Saccharomyces cerevisiae S288C: one gene and its partners. Changing the gene in region 1 together with any one later gene gives a genetic interaction. Each region holds a gene or a part of one and is shown on either strand. Other genes may lie near its edges. The genes, in order: MIH1, CDC11, CDC27 and HUR1.

Region 1 (6,409 bases):
GAGATAACAGAAACTAGTCTGTAATACGAAAAGTTCAAAAAAAAAAAGATATTGCTTTTTTCTTCCTTACTTTATCGGTATCTTCCTCATATTTTTCGGGAAGATCACAACAGTAGTAGCAAGGTATTTCATACGCCAAGAGGCTACCTTTTTTTCTTTGGTTTTATTTGCTTTATTTTTTCTTTCTTTTTTCAACTTTTATTGCTCATAGAAGAACTAGATCTAAAATGACGGTCGACCATGATTTCAATAGCGAAGATATTTTATTCCCCATAGAAAGCATGAGTAGTATACAATACGTGGAGAATAATAACCCAAATAATATTAACAACGATGTTATCCCGTATTCTCTAGATATCAAAAACACTGTCTTAGATAGTGCGGATCTCAATGACATTCAAAATCAAGAAACTTCACTGAATTTGGGGCTTCCTCCACTATCTTTCGACTCTCCACTGCCCGTAACGGAAACGATACCATCCACTACCGATAACAGCTTGCATTTGAAAGCTGATAGCAACAAAAATCGCGATGCAAGAACTATTGAAAATGATAGTGAAATTAAGAGTACTAATAATGCTAGTGGCTCTGGGGCAAATCAATACACAACTCTTACTTCACCTTATCCTATGAACGACATTTTGTACAACATGAACAATCCGTTACAATCACCGTCACCTTCATCGGTACCTCAAAATCCGACTATAAATCCTCCCATAAATACAGCAAGTAACGAAACTAATTTATCGCCTCAAACTTCAAATGGTAATGAAACTCTTATATCTCCTCGAGCCCAACAACATACGTCCATTAAAGATAATCGTCTGTCCTTACCTAATGGTGCTAATTCGAATCTTTTCATTGACACTAACCCAAACAATTTGAACGAAAAACTAAGAAATCAATTGAACTCAGATACAAATTCATATTCTAACTCCATTTCTAATTCAAACTCCAATTCTACGGGTAATTTAAATTCCAGTTATTTTAATTCACTGAACATAGACTCCATGCTAGATGATTACGTTTCTAGTGATCTCTTATTGAATGATGATGATGATGACACTAATTTATCACGCCGAAGATTTAGCGACGTTATAACAAACCAATTTCCGTCAATGACAAATTCGAGGAATTCTATTTCTCACTCTTTGGACCTTTGGAACCATCCGAAAATTAATCCAAGCAATAGAAATACAAATCTCAATATCACTACTAATTCTACCTCAAGTTCCAATGCAAGTCCGAATACCACTACTATGAACGCAAATGCAGACTCAAATATTGCTGGCAACCCGAAAAACAATGACGCTACCATAGACAATGAGTTGACACAGATTCTTAACGAATATAATATGAACTTCAACGATAATTTGGGCACATCCACTTCTGGCAAGAACAAATCTGCTTGCCCAAGTTCTTTTGATGCCAATGCTATGACAAAGATAAATCCAAGTCAGCAATTACAGCAACAGCTAAACCGAGTTCAACACAAGCAGCTCACCTCGTCACATAATAACAGTAGCACTAACATGAAATCCTTCAACAGCGATCTTTATTCAAGAAGGCAAAGAGCTTCTTTACCCATAATCGATGATTCACTAAGCTACGACCTGGTTAATAAGCAGGATGAAGACCCCAAGAACGATATGCTGCCGAATTCAAATTTGAGTTCATCTCAACAATTTATCAAACCGTCTATGATTCTTTCAGACAATGCGTCCGTTATTGCGAAAGTGGCGACTACAGGCTTGAGTAATGATATGCCATTTTTGACAGAGGAAGGTGAACAAAATGCTAATTCTACTCCAAATTTCGATCTTTCCATCACTCAAATGAATATGGCTCCATTATCGCCTGCATCATCATCCTCCACGTCTCTTGCAACAAATCATTTCTATCACCATTTCCCACAGCAGGGTCACCATACCATGAACTCTAAAATCGGTTCTTCCCTTCGGAGGCGGAAGTCTGCTGTGCCTTTGATGGGTACGGTGCCGCTTACAAATCAACAAAATAATATAAGCAGTAGTAGTGTCAACTCAACTGGCAATGGTGCTGGGGTTACGAAGGAAAGAAGGCCAAGTTACAGGAGAAAATCAATGACACCGTCCAGAAGATCAAGTGTCGTAATAGAATCAACAAAGGAACTCGAGGAGAAACCGTTCCACTGTCACATTTGTCCCAAGAGCTTTAAGCGCAGCGAACATTTGAAAAGGCATGTGAGATCTGTTCACTCTAACGAACGACCATTTGCTTGTCACATATGCGATAAGAAATTTAGTAGAAGCGATAATTTGTCGCAACACATCAAGACTCATAAAAAACATGGAGACATTTAATAGACCCCATTTTTTTAATTCGATAGATCTTTCTTCATAAGATAATTCTGTTCAATGACTTATGAAGCTTACGGCTTATTGTTATTATTATCATGATTCTTTGCCATTTTTCCGGTACCTTCACATTTTGAAGGAATTCAGTTCCCCCGCCTGTAACAACTTAGATACACGTAGATAAAAATTAATATAGCCAAAATATTTGGTATGATAGGGTATAGTATAATATAATTAATACAATATAATATAATATAGTACAGTACAGTATAATATTGTATAATATCATATGGCACCGTAATATCATATATATATCCGTACAGTTTAATGAATTCCGTGCGCATTATGCTGTGCAATATGCCTGTCAGTTTGAAAATCGAAGATACCACATCGTACAAAAGCAAGAGGGGTGCCCCTAATGGGAGAAGATTACCGTTTTTATTTTGGGGTAGCTAACTGCGCCACAAATAGTATCTACCAGTTTGCTACTTTTAGAACTGTATTATGTATCTTTGCCGAATACTTAATTTCCTAGGCCTCATTTTCAGGACTAAGGATGAAGAGGGGCTTCAATGTTTTATATGGCGCTTTTTCTGTCCATTGTATACGTCAAAAAAGCATAGATACTCCACTTATTAGCGGTAAAGCCCTTTTTGATACATTGTTCCGGCGTTTAAATATTCTCATTATGATATTTCCCCAACAGTTACACTCTGTTATTTCCTTCTTTTTTATGCTTTATCTGTTTTTTCCCTGTTTCGATGCCGTATATCAGAAAACTTAAAGTTACAAGCGAAAACAAAGAAAAGAGAGTTAACTTGAAAGGAGACAAAAGATAAACAGAGCAGTGGACAAACCAGGATTGAAGTCAGCGAGGGTGAAGAAACCATGAACAATATATTTCATGGAACTGAAGATGAATGTGCCAATGAAGACGTTCTTAGTTTCCAAAAAATTTCCTTGAAAAGTCCCTTTGGTAAGAAGAAGAACATATTTAGAAATGTTCAGACCTTCTTTAAGTCAAAAAGCAAACATTCGAATGTCGACGATGATTTAATCAATAAAGAGAATCTTGCCTTTGATAAATCTCCATTGTTAACAAATCACAGGAGTAAGGAAATTGATGGTCCTTCACCGAATATAAAGCAGCTTGGCCATCGCGATGAGTTAGATGAAAATGAAAATGAAAATGATGATATAGTCTTAAGCATGCATTTTGCTTCTCAAACCTTACAAAGTCCAACAAGAAACTCATCAAGAAGATCTTTGACCAATAATAGGGATAATGATCTTTTAAGTAGAATCAAGTATCCTGGCAGTCCCCAGAGGTCGAGCTCTTTTTCAAGGTCAAGGTCCTTGTCGAGAAAGCCAAGCATGAATAGCAGTAGCAATTCAAGCAGGAGGGTGCAACGGCAAGATGGGAAAATTCCGAGGTCATCGAGAAAAAGTTCACAGAAATTTTCTAACATTACTCAGAATACTTTGAACTTCACGTCTGCGTCATCCAGTCCACTAGCTCCTAATTCGGTAGGGGTGAAATGTTTTGAATCATGCCTAGCCAAAACACAGATACCATATTATTATGACGATCGTAACTCAAATGACTTTTTCCCTCGAATTTCTCCAGAAACGTTGAAAAATATTCTGCAGAATAATATGTGCGAGTCATTTTATAATTCATGTCGTATTATAGATTGTCGGTTTGAATACGAATATACTGGCGGCCACATAATAAACTCCGTTAACATACACTCGAGAGATGAGTTAGAGTACGAATTTATCCATAAAGTTTTGCATAGCGATACTAGCAACAACAACACTCTACCAACTCTTTTAATTATCCATTGCGAATTTAGTTCCCACCGGGGACCTTCATTGGCCTCTCATTTGAGAAATTGTGATCGTATAATAAATCAGGATCATTATCCCAAATTATTCTATCCCGACATATTGATATTGGATGGCGGATACAAAGCTGTTTTTGACAATTTTCCTGAACTATGTTATCCACGTCAGTACGTGGGAATGAACTCACAAGAAAATTTGCTGAATTGTGAACAAGAAATGGATAAGTTTAGGAGAGAATCTAAAAGATTTGCTACTAAAAATAATTCTTTTAGAAAACTAGCTTCCCCTTCAAATCCTAACTTCTTTTATAGAGATAGCCATCAATCTTCAACAACAATGGCATCTTCTGCACTATCGTTCAGGTTTGAGCCGCCTCCGAAGCTGTCATTAAACCACAGAAGAGTCTCTAGTGGTTCATCATTAAATTCAAGTGAGAGTACAGGCGACGAAAATTTCTTCCCCATCTTAAGTAAGTCGTCTATGAGTAGTAACAGTAACCTAAGCACTTCACATATGCTACTAATGGACGGACTGGATACCCCATCATATTTTAGTTTCGAAGATGAGAGAGGCAATCATCAGCAAGTAAGTGGAGATGAAGAGCAAGACGGAGATTTTACTTTCGTTGGTTCCGACCGAGAAGATTTACCCAGGCCCGCAAGAAGATCGTTATTCCCTTCTCTAGAGACTGAAGATAAAAAATGATACTACATGTGCATGAAGTATTATGAAAAAAAGAAGTATATATTCAGGAACCGAACGGCAACAACATCAATACATAAATCACAATCATCTATATTTATTGCATTAGATTAATCACATAATATAAAAAATTTGCATTTGAATACCGGGGTCACTTCTAAATTCATAAAAATAAGCTGATTTTCATTCTAAAATGGCTCTTTTGCTAATGCAGTCTCTACCGGTACTCAGTTTGAGATCCGTTCCCCACCTGGAGGGTGGCCAAACAATTGTTATAGCTTTCCCTATGACCAACCCACTGGAAATGGGGCCAAAAGTATTGCTATCAATCGAATGAAAATAATTGTCCCCTTCGACCCATATGTGTCCCCTGGGCAGGTTCACTTGAGGTTTAGGGTATGGAAACTTCGTGTCAATGGTATCAAACGGTAAACCTTTAACCCTTTTGCAGTAAACTTTCCGAGGGTTTGTAGGAGCTTTGAAAAGGATAATGTCATCTCTAGATAAATTACTTGGGTTCTTGACTCCAAACTTCCAAAGCAGCACCCAATCTGTTGCCAGCGTTTCCGTTTGCGGGTTCAGCGTAGGCTGCATAGAGGTACCTTTAACTTGCGCAATATGGACCACATTATTATTGATTGTTAGAAGTACCGGAACCCATGAAATTGCTATTAGTGTGTTTCGTAAGAATCTTTTTGATGATCCGGCTCGAAACATTACTGTACAGTACAATGCAACAGCTTCATGAATAGCAGCACGCCTTCGTTAACAAGCACCCATCTAGTCATTCAATTAAGGCACTTGTTTTTTCCATTTTTTTCAGTAGCTCGGAACTTAGCCTCGCTCTCCTTCCGAGCTTGATCTTCCACAGTATTTCGATGACATTGGTCTACCCGTAAGTCTGAGCTCCAACGAACAGCCAGAAGCTAAGAAAGCATAAAAAAGAACCGAACCACTTTAAAATCTAGCAAATTTTAACCTTCAATTATATAAAGAGAGATTTATAGCTTTTTATTGCCTGAAACCGTCTATGCTACCTGAATCACCTTCGCACCCTTTTCTACGATATATCCCAACTCTGACATAACTTGCAAAAAGAAGGAAGACACACATTTAATACACCTACTTAGTGCCAAATGAAGACTCAGTACTCTCTAATACGAAAAATTTGGGCACATTCAGTAACAGAATTTCTGAAATCCCAGTGGTTTTTCATCTGTTTGGCTATTTTAATCGTTATTGCAAGATTTGCTCCGAATTTTGCAAGAGACGGAGGGTTAATTAAAGGCCAATATAGTATTGGGTACGGCTGCGTCGCCTGGATTTTTCTCCAAAGTGGCCTGGGAATGAAATCAAGGTCACTAATGGCAAATATGTTAAATTGGAGAGCTCATGCCACTATTCTGGTTCTGAGTTTCCTTATTACCTCGTCCATAGTATATGGATTTTGTTGCGCGGTAAAGGCTGCTAATGATCCGAAAATAGATGACTGGGTACTTATCGGTCTAATTTTGACTGCCACT
Region 2 (3,826 bases), on another chromosome or scaffold:
ATTACGACAATTAAGCAGCACAAGTGTCTGGCGCAATGCCTGACTACTGGGAAAAGTCGAAGCATTTGCACGGCGTCCATTACGATGGTTAAGGCAGTTTACGACGAATTGCGGAGTCAAGTTTTAATATTTATAGATAGCCCTGTCACCAGTATCGGGTGTTGTTTCTACCCAAGCGCCTGCCAGCCTCAAACAATACAACAGGTATTGTTTTTGGACAGCGGAATGCTGCGATGCAACAGTATCGCAGCATGGTACTGCTTTCCTCTAGTCTTTTGTCGAATGTGAGCAAGCAGCAGCTGAGACTCTGCCCAACCATCGTTAGCCAATCAGCGTCGAGAACGGGTCCCATGCCCGGCCGCGGCCCGTTTCGAGAAGATTTTTAAGTGCGATCCATCCTCCCGATCTTTTTATCTACAAGAACCATCGCAAAGAACAGAGTGATCTGCAAGAAGAAGAACTACAAAGATCAAAAAGTCTCATCTCACCATGTCTGTGTCTGCTGCTCCTGCTATTCCACAGTACTCTGTCTCTGACTACATGAAATTCGCCCTAGCCGGCGCCATAGGGTGCGGGTCGACTCACTCCAGTATGGTCCCGATCGATGTCGTTAAGACGAGAATCCAACTGGAACCTACCGTGTACAACAAGGGTATGGTCGGCTCTTTCAAGCAAATCATCGCCGGAGAAGGTGCTGGTGCGTTGTTGACCGGGTTTGGTCCTACTTTGTTGGGTTACTCTATCCAAGGTGCCTTCAAGTTCGGTGGTTACGAAGTGTTCAAGAAGTTCTTCATTGACAACTTGGGTTACGATACCGCCTCTCGCTACAAGAACTCTGTTTACATGGGTTCTGCTGCCATGGCCGAATTCTTGGCAGACATTGCCTTGTGTCCCCTAGAAGCCACTAGAATCAGATTGGTCTCCCAACCACAGTTCGCTAATGGACTCGTCGGAGGGTTTTCCAGAATTTTGAAAGAAGAAGGTATCGGCTCTTTCTACAGTGGGTTCACTCCAATTTTGTTCAAGCAAATTCCTTACAACATTGCTAAATTCTTGGTCTTTGAACGTGCCTCCGAGTTCTACTACGGGTTCGCCGGTCCAAAAGAAAAATTGTCCTCTACTTCCACTACTTTGTTGAATTTGCTTTCCGGTTTGACTGCTGGTTTGGCCGCTGCCATTGTTTCCCAGCCAGCAGACACTCTGTTGTCCAAGGTCAACAAGACTAAGAAGGCTCCTGGCCAATCCACAGTCGGTTTGTTGGCTCAGTTGGCCAAACAGTTAGGATTTTTCGGTTCCTTTGCTGGGTTGCCTACTCGTTTGGTCATGGTTGGTACCTTGACCTCCTTGCAATTTGGTATTTATGGTTCTTTAAAGAGCACTTTGGGTTGCCCACCAACCATTGAAATTGGTGGTGGTGGTCATTAGAAATGGTCTTGATTGATACATGCATATATATTCTCTCCTCATCACCACCGGAGCCCCTTTTTTTTTTCATATTCTAAGAAAGAGTCAACAAAGGAAAGAAATAAATAAATCTGTTTAAATGTACTCTATTCAATCACTAGTATTCTTATTCCATGTATTTACTGACTTTGCAAAAGTCCAAATATCTGTAAATTAACATGCTATTATAAATATATATATATATATATATTTGAATTTTCTATTTTTTCATCTACAAAAGCAGGTTATAGCTCCGTTAAACCCTTTGCTCATTGAATTGTCCTTCACGGTTTTTTGGTGGAAAACACAACATGGAACATAACATTTAAACATCGTTCTCAATCCATTTCATCGCAGTAACATATTTGGTCGGGCACATACGGACACGTATATGTTATACAGATAAATATAGCTTAAATATGGCTATATTTACACAACACAATGCTCGTGGGTCGTTACCCGACCATGCAGGATCGCCAGTATTCTTTATTTTTCCGCCTTCTAACATAAAGAAAAATAAACAAAAAAGTATTTGATCGAAAAGTAAAATAGGTAGACACCACGTATTGGCGACCCGATCTGGAGCCGTTTAGAAAGTCAATCATCACAAGGCCTAAAGTTGCTAACCACCAGCCATGTCCGGAATAATTGACGCATCTTCTGCATTAAGAAAAAGAAAGCATTTGAAAAGAGGTATAACCTTCACTGTGATGATCGTGGGCCAGTCCGGATCTGGTAGATCGACTTTTATAAATACTTTGTGCGGTCAGCAAGTTGTAGACACTTCGACGACAATCTTGTTACCCACAGATACGTCCACAGAAATAGACTTACAATTGAGAGAGGAGACGGTCGAATTAGAAGATGATGAAGGTGTCAAGATTCAACTTAATATCATCGATACTCCGGGATTCGGTGATTCTCTCGACAATTCTCCATCTTTCGAAATCATTTCCGACTACATTCGCCACCAATATGATGAAATCTTATTGGAAGAAAGTCGTGTGAGAAGAAACCCAAGATTTAAGGACGGCAGAGTTCATTGTTGTCTTTACTTAATCAACCCAACTGGCCACGGTTTAAAAGAGATTGATGTGGAATTCATCAGACAGTTGGGATCCTTAGTTAACATCATCCCTGTGATCAGCAAATCAGATTCCTTGACAAGAGATGAACTGAAACTGAATAAAAAATTGATCATGGAGGATATCGACAGATGGAACTTGCCAATTTATAATTTCCCTTTCGATGAAGATGAAATATCAGACGAAGATTACGAAACCAATATGTACCTACGTACACTTCTACCTTTTGCTATTATTGGATCCAATGAAGTTTACGAAATGGGCGGCGATGTTGGGACAATTCGTGGCAGAAAGTATCCATGGGGCATACTGGACGTGGAAGATTCATCGATCTCTGATTTTGTTATCTTAAGGAATGCGTTATTGATCTCTCATTTACATGACTTGAAAAACTACACACATGAGATATTATATGAAAGATATAGAACCGAGGCATTATCAGGTGAATCTGTCGCGGCAGAATCCATACGTCCAAATCTGACAAAATTGAATGGTTCGTCGTCATCGTCCACCACAACAAGGAGAAACACAAATCCCTTCAAGCAAAGTAATAATATTAATAACGATGTTCTCAACCCAGCATCCGATATGCACGGGCAAAGCACTGGCGAAAATAACGAAACCTACATGACACGTGAGGAGCAAATACGGTTAGAAGAAGAGCGACTAAAGGCATTTGAGGAGAGAGTTCAGCAAGAACTGCTGTTGAAAAGACAAGAACTGTTGCAAAGAGAAAAGGAATTAAGAGAAATTGAAGCCAGGTTGGAAAAAGAGGCGAAAATCAAACAGGAAGAATGAGTCCGCTTTTGGCTTCCTCACTTATTTCTTCTTTCTCTATATATATAAAGAGTGAGTGTTGTATATAAGTAAATACATCTGGTATATTATTTTTTTTTTTTCTTCATTCTTAAAAAGTATTAATATCGATCAGCAAAAAAAAATTAACAAAAAAGTTCCTTATTATATCTGCGTAGAAGTACTTATTTCTGCTCCACCTTTGGAGTATTTTTCCAAAATTGTGATGCCAAATGAGTAATGAAATAGAATTTCTTGTGTGGATCGTCATTATCGATTTGGTTTGGACAGTTAAAGGAGAATTTTGGAAAGACCAGAACATCACTTAGCAATTTTGGTTGATTTAGGTTATGGAATAATTTCCATGTAACCTTCTCCCTGACACCACTTCTCATAAAGTCATTGAAATACGTGAAAATAGTGTCAGTCCACAACCCAGAACCCGTCCAACTCATAATATTCAGATCATTCCTTAGATTGACGTTTAGTTGGTCGTCCCTCTT
Region 3 (6,647 bases), on another chromosome or scaffold:
ATTCAAGAGATGCCTCACTTTCTGAAATGAAAAAGCATAGGAGAAACTCTTCTATATTATCTTTTTTTTCTTCAAAAAGTCAGTCTAATCCAACGTCACCAACCAAACAAACTTTCACTATCGATCCCGCAAAGATGACTTCCCATTCTCGTTCTCAGTCGAATTCCTATTCGCATGCAAGATCACAATCTTACTCCCATAGTAGAAAACACTCGTTAGTTACCAGCCCCTTGAAAACTTCTTTAAGCCCTATAAATTCCAAATCCAATATTGCTTTAGCGCATAGCGAAACTCCTACTAGTAGTAATAATAAGGAGGCAGTATCACAACCAAGTGAAGGGAAGCACAAGCACAAGCACAAGCACAAGAGCAAGCACAAACACAAGAACAGTAGCTCCAAAGATGGCTCTTCCGAAGAAAAAAGCAAAAAGAAATTATTTAGTAGCACCAAAGAATCATTTGTAGGAAGCAAGGAATTCAAAAGATCTCCCAGTGAACTTACCCAAAAATCTACCAAATCGATACTTCCCAGGTCGAATGCTAAAAAGCAACAAACATCTGCTTTTACCGAAGGTATACGCTCTATCACAGCAAAGGAATCTATGCAAACTGCGGACTGTTCAGGCTGGATGAGCAAAAAAGGTACCGGTGCTATGGGGACTTGGAAACAACGGTTTTTCACACTTCATGGAACAAGGCTTTCTTATTTTACGAATACCAATGATGAGAAGGAGCGTGGCCTGATAGATATAACGGCACATAGGGTCTTACCTGCCAGTGATGATGATAGGCTCATTTCCTTATACGCTGCGAGCTTAGGAAAAGGAAAATACTGTTTCAAATTGGTCCCTCCGCAACCGGGGTCCAAAAAGGGGCTAACCTTTACAGAACCTCGCGTTCACTATTTTGCAGTTGAGAATAAATCTGAAATGAAGGCATGGCTGTCAGCCATAATAAAGGCCACTATTGATATTGATACAAGCGTCCCTGTCATTAGTTCATATGCCACACCAACGATACCTCTAAGCAAGGCACAGACGCTATTGGAAGAAGCTAGGTTACAAACCCAGTTAAGAGATGCTGAAGAGGAAGAGGGAAGAGATCAATTTGGATGGGATGACACCCAAAATAAAAGAAATTCTAATTATCCAATCGAACAAGATCAATTTGAGACCAGCGATTACCTGGAAAGTTCAGCATTTGAATACCCTGGTGGCAGACTTTGAGAACTGCAATCATTAGTTACTTCTTGACCAACTTAAACACCTTAATAATTAATATTTAATAGAACATAATATAGTGATATAAAGTATATAAAAATAAAAAGTTTACGAATTAATACAATCAAATTAGACACTGATACTATCAAGAAGTACATCGCAGGAACCGCAGACATGATGTCCTCTTCTTTCAAATTACTGGATATATATATTATTATTATTGTTACCATTAACGTTATTATTATTAACTATTACTATTACATTAACTTAAAAATAAATATGAAACAACGAAGAACAAAAAGAATTATGAAAACATTTAACATGTTTCAATTTGTTATGTTTTGGCCAACCTGCGTTTATTCTTGCATATGACATTTTTGTAATTCATCGATGATAACTTGGTTACCCTTTGGATCCAAATTCATAGCAACAGTTAGCTCCTTGATTGCATCTTTTTTCCTCCCAACTATTCTATATGTTTGACCCAGCAAATAATGGGCTGTGGCATCATCAGGAACGAGTTTCACCAATTCTTCAAAAGTTTGCAAAGCAACATTATATCTTGTCATGGAATAGAGCAACTGGCCCATCTTATATTTGGATAGCGAGGAAGTCGGTTGCAAATGACATGCTAGTTCATAATATTGTAGAGCCTTTTCCTTATAGCCCAGCTTTTCTAAAGAACCACCGCAACAACAGATTAACACAACATTGACGGGATTAATTGACCTTGCCTTTTCAAAATATAACAACGCTTCTTCATATTGACCTAATTTCATAGCGCTCGTACCCAATCCGTAATATGCATTGTAATGCTGAGGATCACAAGCTAGCGCCTTTCTATAGCATGTCTTGGCAGAATCCGAAGAATCGTTGGAAGAATGTTCATGACCTTGCAAAGTATACGCGTATGCAAAATTTGGGTCTAACTGAGTAGCTTTTTCGAAGGCTTTTATTGCGGCATCATGATCCTTTTGCAATGATAGCAAATTACCTATACAACACCATGTTTCGGGCTTATTAGGCATTGTATCCATTAGCCCATTTGCCAAATTTGAAGATTTAACCTTGTCATGCAAATGCCACAGCAAAGTAGAAAAAATTTCCATATCTTTTACCCTTGCCGGTTGTAGGTCTTTCAATCTATTGAAATACTTTAAGGACATATCATAATTAATGATCTCAAAATGAAGTTTTCCTAATTGCACTAGACACCATGGCATTGTGTCTTTAATATGAGATGGGATTTGAGACTCGAACAGTCTTATTGCCTTGAACGAATTGTATTGTGATGACGACCTTAATATTAAAGCGAAATTATACATGATTTCAGGCAGCGTAATTGAATAATCACTCGTTAGTATTGAGTTACTGATTATTAAAGACCTTGGATTTTTCTTGGAAGTTGTTAACCTTCCTGTTGAGGAATATAGGTTTCTTGGAGTTTTGAAAGTTGTTTTATTTATAATGTTATTATTATTATTATTATTATTATTATTATTATTATTATTATTATTATTATTATTATTATTATTGTTATTTTGGTGGTTCCTATCGTTATTTAACAGTTTCGATGGAGGAGTCGTTAAAAGTTTGTTTCTGTTATAAACTTTGGCCAACGAGCTTATTGTAGGCTGTTTGGAGGATGGAGACACTAAGTTCATGGAAATGTTATTTGGTAGCGCAGAAGACGTCTTACTGTTGATTGCAGGGTTTTTAGGAGTTTGAGTATTTTTGTTCTGGCAGGTCCTTATTGATGTGTTCGCTTGTTGCTGCTGTGACCTTGAGAAATGCTGAATGGAAGAAAAAGAAGATGCCGATGTAGAAGGGGGAGAATTAGACGACTGAAACAGTGTATTAACATTATTATTGATATTATTATTGCCGTTTTTGTTTGTTTTTGAATATAAGCTAGGTTGTGAACGAGGTTCGAAATGCGATAGTGATGTAGACGGAAACGATGAAGCTGCATTATTATTATGACTATTACTTTTTTTCCCTGCAATGTCGAAAAAAACCCTCTTGAGATCCACGGTAGCTCTCATTTTACAAATCGCTTCGTAAGATTCCCAAAGGTAAGGATTAATGGCTAATGCTTCAGAATGATAAAATGCTCCCTCCTTAGAATGGTCCAGTTTCATATAAAGATTGCCTAACAGGCAATTCAAAGTGGCCAAATCGGGAATATGGACGAGATTAGAATTCAACACCATATTTATGCGCGTATTACTGCTGTTCGAAGAAAATACATTTATTATTGAGAGAAGAGTGAGGATAGCTTCGTTAACTCCCTGCGAAAGCTGTAAAGCACAACGCCCGAATATGTAAGCGATACCAAGATGATACTCCTTGAATTCTTTGGATATCTGGAACGCAGTGTGGTAGCTTTTATTCAGAAACAGCGAAAGTGCATATAAATATACCGCATCGGACCAGTAAACACTTGATTTATCGAGAATGGAGCATTCAGCATAGAGCAGTTCGGCCAAAAACTCTGCGGTACTGTAGTTCAACTGCTGAATAGCCTGCTGAATGCAGTCCTGAAGCTGTATGATGGTGCTCAAAGCTTGATCATCAAAGCTGGGGATTCCTCTCGAGAGGGTGAACGGTGCTAACTCAGGATTTACCGCCATGCTATTTTTATTATGTATCCTGCACGAAAAGTTCGTGTCGATTTATGAATAGATATGCAGTCACCAAAACAGAGTCTAAAACTCTCACAGCTAGGTATGGTTTTTTGATAAACTTTTCTGTGGCACCTTTGCTTGCACTTTGATCCTTTTGGTTTACTTTCAGCCTGTTCCATCCTTTTGATCAAAAAAAAAAAGGAAAATCAAGCGCGGGTAATAACGGCACCATTAAATACTAGTAGTACTATATAGATGGTATAAAGAAATGATTTAAAACAATACGATTATATGATATTTATACATCTGTTTCAGTTGAGCTTTTTTTCCATAGAGCTGGTGGTACGAAGATGGCTTTTGGCGAGGGCGACCGAACCAGATAGCTGCGTCAAGGCCAATAGAAGCAACAGAACAGTATTCAATGCCAACAATAGCGTGCTTGCTTGTGAGTTTGGTGGATAGGAATTCCAGCACCACTCGTGCAAGACGTACCAAATGGGACCAACGAAGAAGGGCATTCCCGACCAAAAGATCAGTATAGGCAAAGTCCAGTGATACCAGGATAGAAACTGGTAGTGGAGGGACCTTGAAAATAGGACGCCGATGAAGTTGGATGCGATTAGAACGAATGGAATAGTCTTGGCGGGATTGGCATTGAGCACTGCATTTTTCCTCAGCGGATGGCACAGGGAAGACCATAAATCGGGCAGGATGCGAGGGTATCTTGTGACGAACAGTGTGGTGAGCGCTATCAGGTGGCTGATTAAAAGGGCCAAGTGGAACCTCTTATCATTGAAAGCCTCTTCATCCATCATTTGCCAATTGATACTCCATTGGTACATAAACTTCCTGCCGAAATTAAAAGCGCAATGCAGGTACTGTTGCGGAAAGCTGCGCAGGAAGGGCACTGCAACTGCGACTTGCCATGCAATCATCGCAACGAGATCCAACAAAGTAAGGATTACGTTCGCGTCATTAAGGATGAATAGAGAAATCATCATTGCAGGGAAATACAACAGCGCATTCATCTTAATGCTCACAGCCATACTGTATGTTGCGGAGATCACCAGCGCAAGGGACTTCTTTAATTTGGGGCGCTGATGGCACCTGCTGGCCACGATAGCCCCCAAAACCGTGACGACCATAAACAAAGTAGTGAAGCAATCATTGAATAACCGTAGCACGTAAATAGAGTGCAATCTTTTAGAGAGGCACGCCAAGACCACACACCACGGTGGTAGATGTAAAAGGTAGTAACACGCCATTTGTAACGCCAGTGTAAGGAGATACAAGTATCTGAAAAACACTTGCCCGCGCTCAACGTGGTCCATTCCCTCTGTTAGCCAGTACATCATCTTGTAGATCAAGACGTGGCCTGCTGGATACACCAGCGGGCCCGTTCCACCACTCACCTGAGAGTAGTCCAGCATGCCATCGAGCTGAATCATCTCGATCTGCTCCATGTACGCCTTGTAATCGATCTCTGTGTAAGCTACCTTCTTAATGATAATCTTGCACAGCATGCTTTCGAACAAAATCAAAAGGGGCATAACGATAAGATTGGCCCTACAATCGAAGATCACGTAGCGCACACCGTCCTTGAGATCCTGCCACAGATCCAGCGGAGGTCTGACAAATTGCTTCCTTTGCAGAGACTTTTCACCTTGCGGAGACTGTTCACCTTCCATACTACTAGTATCTAACTCTTTCTCTCTCCCATACACACTCTATGATACTGTTTTCACTCCCAACTAGTGTACTGCGTTGTTCTTTAAGTTCGATAGCGAAATTTCTTTAGCTTGTTTACAGCACCCAGCAACCGCACACAGAATGTGACGGCAAATGCATTTTACATGGAAGGCTATCTACAAAACAGCAATAAAGAGTCATGTAAGATTGGGAAATCTCTAATGTGACATTCCATACTTGTTGCAACAATTTTGGGATGCTTCTGCGTCGTACGACCCTGTATTTACCTTCTCTAGCTCATCGCTTCCCAGGGTCCACGTTAATTTTTCAATTTTTTCTTGCGTGTCGAAGATTCAGGTCTCGAGAAATTTGTCAAAAATTTTTCACTAGATATTAAGAACTATATACATCGAATAAGATGCCAGCACAGAAGAGATAGGCAATCAGTTTAGATACTACAGACACTATCCAATAGTGCAAAGCAAAAGCAGCATAGAAAAAAGAGAATCCCGTTTCCAGCTTTTTCTCTTTTTCCCATTCGTTTTTCCTGATCTTTTTTTCTGCATCGTGGCACCTAGAACAAGAGGTACCTTCCATCCTTCGCTTAATATTTGATACGACTTTTTTGATTTCCATTATTATTATTTGTTACTATTATTATTTATCATTTGGGTTTCGGTTTTTTGTAATAATTTTCTTTTTTTTTTTTGGCTCTATTTCACTAAGACATCGTATATATGCCAGGCCAGATAATCAGCATTCCGTTTTTGTCGCAGAACGAGGACATGGATAAATACTTGTTGGAGTACCGCAGTTTGAAGCTCCTTCATCAGTCCAGTAATTCCTTCCAGTCTCACAATGCGCCCTCCCACCAGTCGAACTACCACCCCCATTACAATCACATGAAATACAACAACACTGGTAGCTATTACTATTACAACAACAACAATAACAGCAGTGTAAACCCACATAACCAAGCTGGTCTACAATCCATTAACAGATCTATTCCATCGGCCCCGTACGGGGCTTACAACCAGAACAGAGCTAATGACGTACCATATATGAATACCCAAAAGAAACACCACAGATTTAGCGCTAACAATAATTTGAA
Region 4 (4,954 bases), on another chromosome or scaffold:
GGCCAAGCGTAAAGCCATCGTGAGAAGGTTACCAAGTGTCGAAACTTTAGGCTCTGTCAACGTTATCTGCTCCGACAAAACAGGTACACTAACCTCAAACCACATGACCGTATCTAAACTTTGGTGCTTGGACAGTATGTCCAATAAGCTAAACGTCCTCTCATTAGACAAAAATAAGAAGACTAAAAATTCTAATGGAAATTTGAAAAACTATTTGACTGAAGACGTTAGGGAAACTCTAACTATCGGTAATCTCTGTAATAATGCATCTTTCTCTCAAGAACATGCCATATTTCTGGGAAATCCTACTGATGTAGCTCTTTTAGAGCAATTGGCAAACTTTGAAATGCCTGATATCAGAAACACCGTTCAAAAAGTTCAGGAACTTCCATTTAACTCGAAAAGAAAATTAATGGCAACCAAGATTCTCAACCCTGTCGACAATAAGTGTACAGTTTATGTTAAAGGTGCATTTGAAAGAATTCTTGAGTACTCCACAAGTTATTTGAAATCAAAGGGTAAAAAAACTGAAAAGTTGACTGAAGCCCAAAAAGCTACGATAAATGAGTGCGCAAATTCTATGGCATCTGAAGGTTTGCGTGTCTTTGGATTTGCTAAACTAACTTTGTCTGATTCATCAACTCCTCTAACCGAAGACCTAATCAAAGATTTAACCTTTACTGGTTTAATCGGTATGAATGACCCACCAAGACCGAACGTTAAATTTGCCATCGAACAATTACTACAAGGTGGTGTCCATATTATTATGATCACTGGTGATTCTGAGAATACCGCAGTAAACATTGCAAAACAAATTGGTATTCCAGTTATTGATCCAAAGCTTTCCGTTTTATCCGGTGATAAATTAGATGAAATGTCAGATGATCAACTGGCCAATGTCATCGACCACGTTAATATTTTTGCTCGTGCTACGCCTGAGCATAAGTTAAACATTGTTCGTGCATTAAGAAAGAGGGGTGATGTGGTAGCAATGACTGGTGATGGTGTTAACGACGCTCCTGCGTTGAAACTTTCAGATATTGGTGTTTCTATGGGTAGAATTGGTACAGATGTAGCCAAAGAAGCCTCAGATATGGTCTTAACTGATGATGACTTCAGTACTATTTTAACTGCCATTGAAGAGGGTAAAGGTATCTTTAATAATATTCAGAATTTCCTGACTTTTCAATTGTCTACTTCTGTTGCCGCACTATCATTAGTTGCACTATCTACAGCGTTTAAACTACCCAATCCACTGAACGCAATGCAAATTCTTTGGATAAATATTTTAATGGATGGGCCACCAGCTCAATCCTTAGGTGTGGAACCTGTTGATCATGAAGTTATGAAAAAACCTCCAAGAAAACGTACCGATAAAATTTTGACCCATGATGTAATGAAACGTTTACTAACCACCGCGGCCTGTATCATCGTTGGGACAGTTTACATTTTTGTTAAAGAGATGGCCGAAGATGGTAAAGTAACTGCTAGAGATACTACTATGACATTTACTTGTTTTGTTTTTTTTGATATGTTTAATGCTTTGGCCTGCAGACATAACACAAAGTCAATCTTCGAAATCGGCTTTTTCACGAACAAAATGTTCAACTACGCCGTTGGACTGTCTCTGTTAGGTCAAATGTGCGCTATATATATACCATTTTTCCAAAGTATCTTTAAAACTGAGAAACTTGGTATCTCTGATATACTATTGTTATTGCTCATCAGCAGTAGCGTTTTCATCGTTGATGAATTGAGAAAATTGTGGACGAGGAAAAAGAATGAAGAAGACTCAACGTATTTCTCAAATGTTTGATATGTCACATTTTGTGCTTTTATCGTTTTTCCTTCCTTCCCTTTATCTTTCATGAGGACGCCCAACCCTATTGAGGTAAATGTACTAATTAATGGGAACATATGTAGATGTATATATGTACATATATTTACAACGGATACTAAGATAAACATGTATGGGCGACTTTTCGTATATACAAAGCAATATAAAATTTTATTCTTTCCTTCTTTTTCCGGACTAGATATAAAATCTCCGTAATCAGTGGTTATGATTTTCAAAAGTTAATCACAGTTTTATTTAAAACTGTATACAATTATTTGCAGCCGCCTTTCGCAATCTGTTCATAACAGCTAATCCTTCTCCTTCCTCATTTATACCTTCGACAAATATTAGGTCTACTTTATCATTTTCATCCACTTTTCTTAAAGCTGCAAACAAGTTAGTCTGTATTTCTTCACCAGATTGGCCAAGTCTTTCGATGATGAAAGTTTTCGAAGAAAAATCGGGTTCATTAAAGATCTTAGATTGTAAGTCGGAATCACGTAATTTTAGGGAAGTTAAAATCGCAATTTTTTTTATATTACTGTTGGCTTTTAATTCCGTTTCGATTAACCTCTTTAATCTTTCCATCCTATCAACGCCCTTAAGAATGCCATCGCCTTCGCAATGAGGAACTAGTAAAACAACTTTAGCTGAAGGGGAATAGTGTCTATACTTCATACCAGGCGTTCTTACCTTTTCGCCCTTTTCAACTGTTTTCTTATTCTCAACTTTACAAAGAGACCAAGCTTCACCACCCAATTTAACAATTTCTTCATATGTAAAACCGCCAGGTCGCAGTAGCGTAGGAGGATTACATAACCCATCAACAACAGTACTTTCTACACCAACCTTGCACGCTCCGCCATCAAGAATTATGGGAATTTTATCCTTTAGATCATGATAAACATGAGACGCTAAAGTAGGAGATGGCCTAGTAGACGCATTCGCTGAAGGAGCAGCTATTGGTGTATCGCTCAGGGCAATCAGTGCTCTAGCCACTGGATTAGCGGGTATGCGTACCGCAAACGTAGGCTGATCTGCGGTCGTTAACTTTGATAATGCACTATGCTCTGAAGATGGAACTGGCAAAAGAATTGTTAATGGGCCAGGCCAAAGGCTTGAAATTAATGGGCGATAGATTGAGGGTATGTTATCAAACAAGGATGTACCTGATAGATGCGGTTGATTAAAGACCTTTCTGTTAAGTTGATCAATGGATGAAACATGTGTAATCAAAGGATTGTCACTAGGCCTATTTTTGGCCCTGTATATACTAAGCACTGAATTATCATTTAAAGCAGAACCTCCAAGACCATAAACAGTTTCGGTTGGAAAAGCCACAGTCTCATCTGTATCTCTTATTATCCTCGCCGCTTCAACTAGCGCTGCTTCCGTTTCAGGATCTGTTATCGTTGGTAAGGAACCATCTATATGCGCATCAGGGGAGAAAATGATTGATAGCGGGTTAACTTTTAAGATCTTGGTATCAAACAGTGCTTTCGATGTCATTGCCAAAAAATGTCGTCCAAGGTACATACAATTCTAAAAATGGAATAATAAACAGGACTACCATTAAAAATGGAAACAGGTTTAGTGGTAAGTTAACAGCGCAGAAGAAAAAAAAAATTTGAGGAGAAGAATAAAGCTCTCGCTTCAAATATTATCAGCTTCAATAGGTATGTGCGATGAGGTTACTATCTTCTGGGTGAAAAAATAGTAAGGCTAGCGTAGATAATGATTTGAAATTTCTCAAAAAAATATTTTTGATACATATAATAATTTTGAAGCCTGAATTTTTCAACGAAATAGCCTTGTTGGCGCAATCGGTAGCGCGTATGACTCTTAATCATAAGGTTAGGGGTTCGAGCCCCCTACAGGGCTATCTTTTTTAGGCTCAAATCAAAAAAATGTCTAATATATTAAATTCTACTTCCTTTTTATATCTCAAAGAAGAAGGCATTTAACCCCATTCATATGGTTTACACTTGTGTTGAGATTTGTTGCTTGCGCTTCTTTTATCCTTTTAAACCGCTTATTTATCCTTTCCAACGATAAGGCTCAAATGACATCAATGTTCTCTTTTGTGTCACAAGAAATATAAATAACAACAATAAAACATTAGGTATTTAGTTGGAAGTCAAACTTGAAACTCTTCCCGGTTATGTTGTATTGGCAAGGAAAGAGCTGAATTGGTTGAGTGATGGGAGCTGGCACTCTTTTAAATGGATTAGAAAAGGAAAACTTTCCAAATAACATCCATTCAGATTTGCCTGCGTATCCTAACATGGATTCTCAAGAAGATGGCAATACTAGTAAGGAAAGTAAAAGAAATAGTCCAGTAAAACAGAAGTCCCAAAAAGATGAAGAAAAGTCATCTAAAATGGGGACTGCAAGCAACATATTCCATGAAAATAAAGATATACACGAAAGATCTGAACACACGGACGATTTTAATGATGGCTTAAAACTGGCTCCGGACTCTAGTCCAAGCTTGAAAGAGTGTCAATTTAAAAATTGGGAAAGTTTTTGGTGTAATACAGAAGGTTACAAAACTAAACACATGCAGCCCTTTCATTTTACAAGCGGATTAGAAGAAATAAAGGAACCGGTCATGGAATTGAATATTTCCACTTCACCATACAAGGGACAGAGGCCAAATTCAGCTCCAACCGAGTATTCAGCTGCCACAACAGCGTTTACCAAAACACAATTAGAGGTGAGTTTTCTAAAAACCAACTTGCTTACATACATTAAAAAAGAGATTGACATTTGCTTGTCAAGTGTTCCATTTTTTGACGACGCAGTTCAAATGCAAAAGAAATTCTTGGAATACAGAGATATTGACTTGGATGAAGAATATGAGCTCAAAATTTTGGGGGAACTTTTGAATGATTTAAACTTCTTTCATATGCAAGAAAACTCTTTGCTAAATAGAGAGCTAGCAGTTCGTAGATTCTCCAATCAACCTGAAAGTCAAAATTTACCTTCCATTAGGGATTTTAGAAATCCACTTTTGCCAATAGATAACCGCCCTTCTCCCCCATTAGGATTGAAAAGAAACGGAAAGTCTTTCGAGGAAACCTATGATTTCACGTCCAATACATCAAATTTTTGGGG

What was found.
Region 2: mutations in MIH1 (region 1) and CDC11 together harm fitness more than expected from each alone (negative genetic interaction), as found in Saccharomyces cerevisiae (4 studies listed by BioGRID, with this or other methods).
Region 3: mutations in MIH1 (region 1) and CDC27 together harm fitness more than expected from each alone (negative genetic interaction), as found in Saccharomyces cerevisiae (3 studies listed by BioGRID).
Region 4: mutations in MIH1 (region 1) and HUR1 together harm fitness more than expected from each alone (negative genetic interaction), as found in Saccharomyces cerevisiae (2 studies listed by BioGRID).

Annotation. Positions count from the first base shown.
Region 1 is NC_001145.3:340,336-346,744, reverse strand, and holds MIH1 (putative tyrosine protein phosphatase MIH1), read left to right. Parts: upstream 1-3,224; coding exon 3,225-4,889; downstream 4,890-6,409. Other genes in the region: stress-responsive transcriptional activator MSN2, read left to right, coding at 228-2,342; IMP2 (endopeptidase catalytic subunit), read right to left, coding at 5,070-5,603; RCH1 (Rch1p), read left to right, coding at 6,023-6,409.
Region 2 is NC_001142.9:574,854-578,679, reverse strand, and holds CDC11 (septin CDC11), read left to right. Parts: upstream 1-2,078; coding exon 2,079-3,326; downstream 3,327-3,826. Other genes in the region: MIR1 (Mir1p), read left to right, coding at 490-1,425; HOC1 (alpha-1,6-mannosyltransferase), read right to left, coding at 3,509-3,826. UniProt on the Saccharomyces cerevisiae protein: Septins are GTPases involved in cytokinesis that assemble early in the cell cycle as a patch at the incipient bud site and form a ring approximate 15 minutes before bud emergence, which transforms into an hour-glass shaped collar of cortical filaments that spans both sides of the mother-bud neck.
Region 3 is NC_001134.8:65,593-72,239, forward strand, and holds CDC27 (anaphase promoting complex subunit CDC27), read right to left. Parts: upstream 3,854-6,647; coding exon 1,577-3,853; downstream 1-1,576. Other genes in the region: BOI1 (Boi1p), read left to right, coding at 1-1,226; ALG3 (dolichyl-P-Man:Man(5)GlcNAc(2)-PP-dolichol alpha-1,3-mannosyltransferase), read right to left, coding at 4,159-5,535; YBL081W (uncharacterized protein), read left to right, coding at 6,274-6,647. UniProt on the Saccharomyces cerevisiae protein: Component of the anaphase promoting complex/cyclosome (APC/C), a cell cycle-regulated E3 ubiquitin-protein ligase complex that controls progression through mitosis and the G1 phase of the cell cycle.
Region 4 is NC_001139.9:184,478-189,431, reverse strand, and holds HUR1 (Hur1p), read right to left. Parts: upstream 1,969-4,954; coding exon 1,636-1,968; downstream 1-1,635. Other genes in the region: Ca(2+)/Mn(2+)-transporting P-type ATPase PMR1, read left to right, coding at 1-1,816; SUA5 (threonylcarbamoyladenylate synthase), read right to left, coding at 2,093-3,373; SPO74 (Spo74p), read left to right, coding at 4,038-4,954.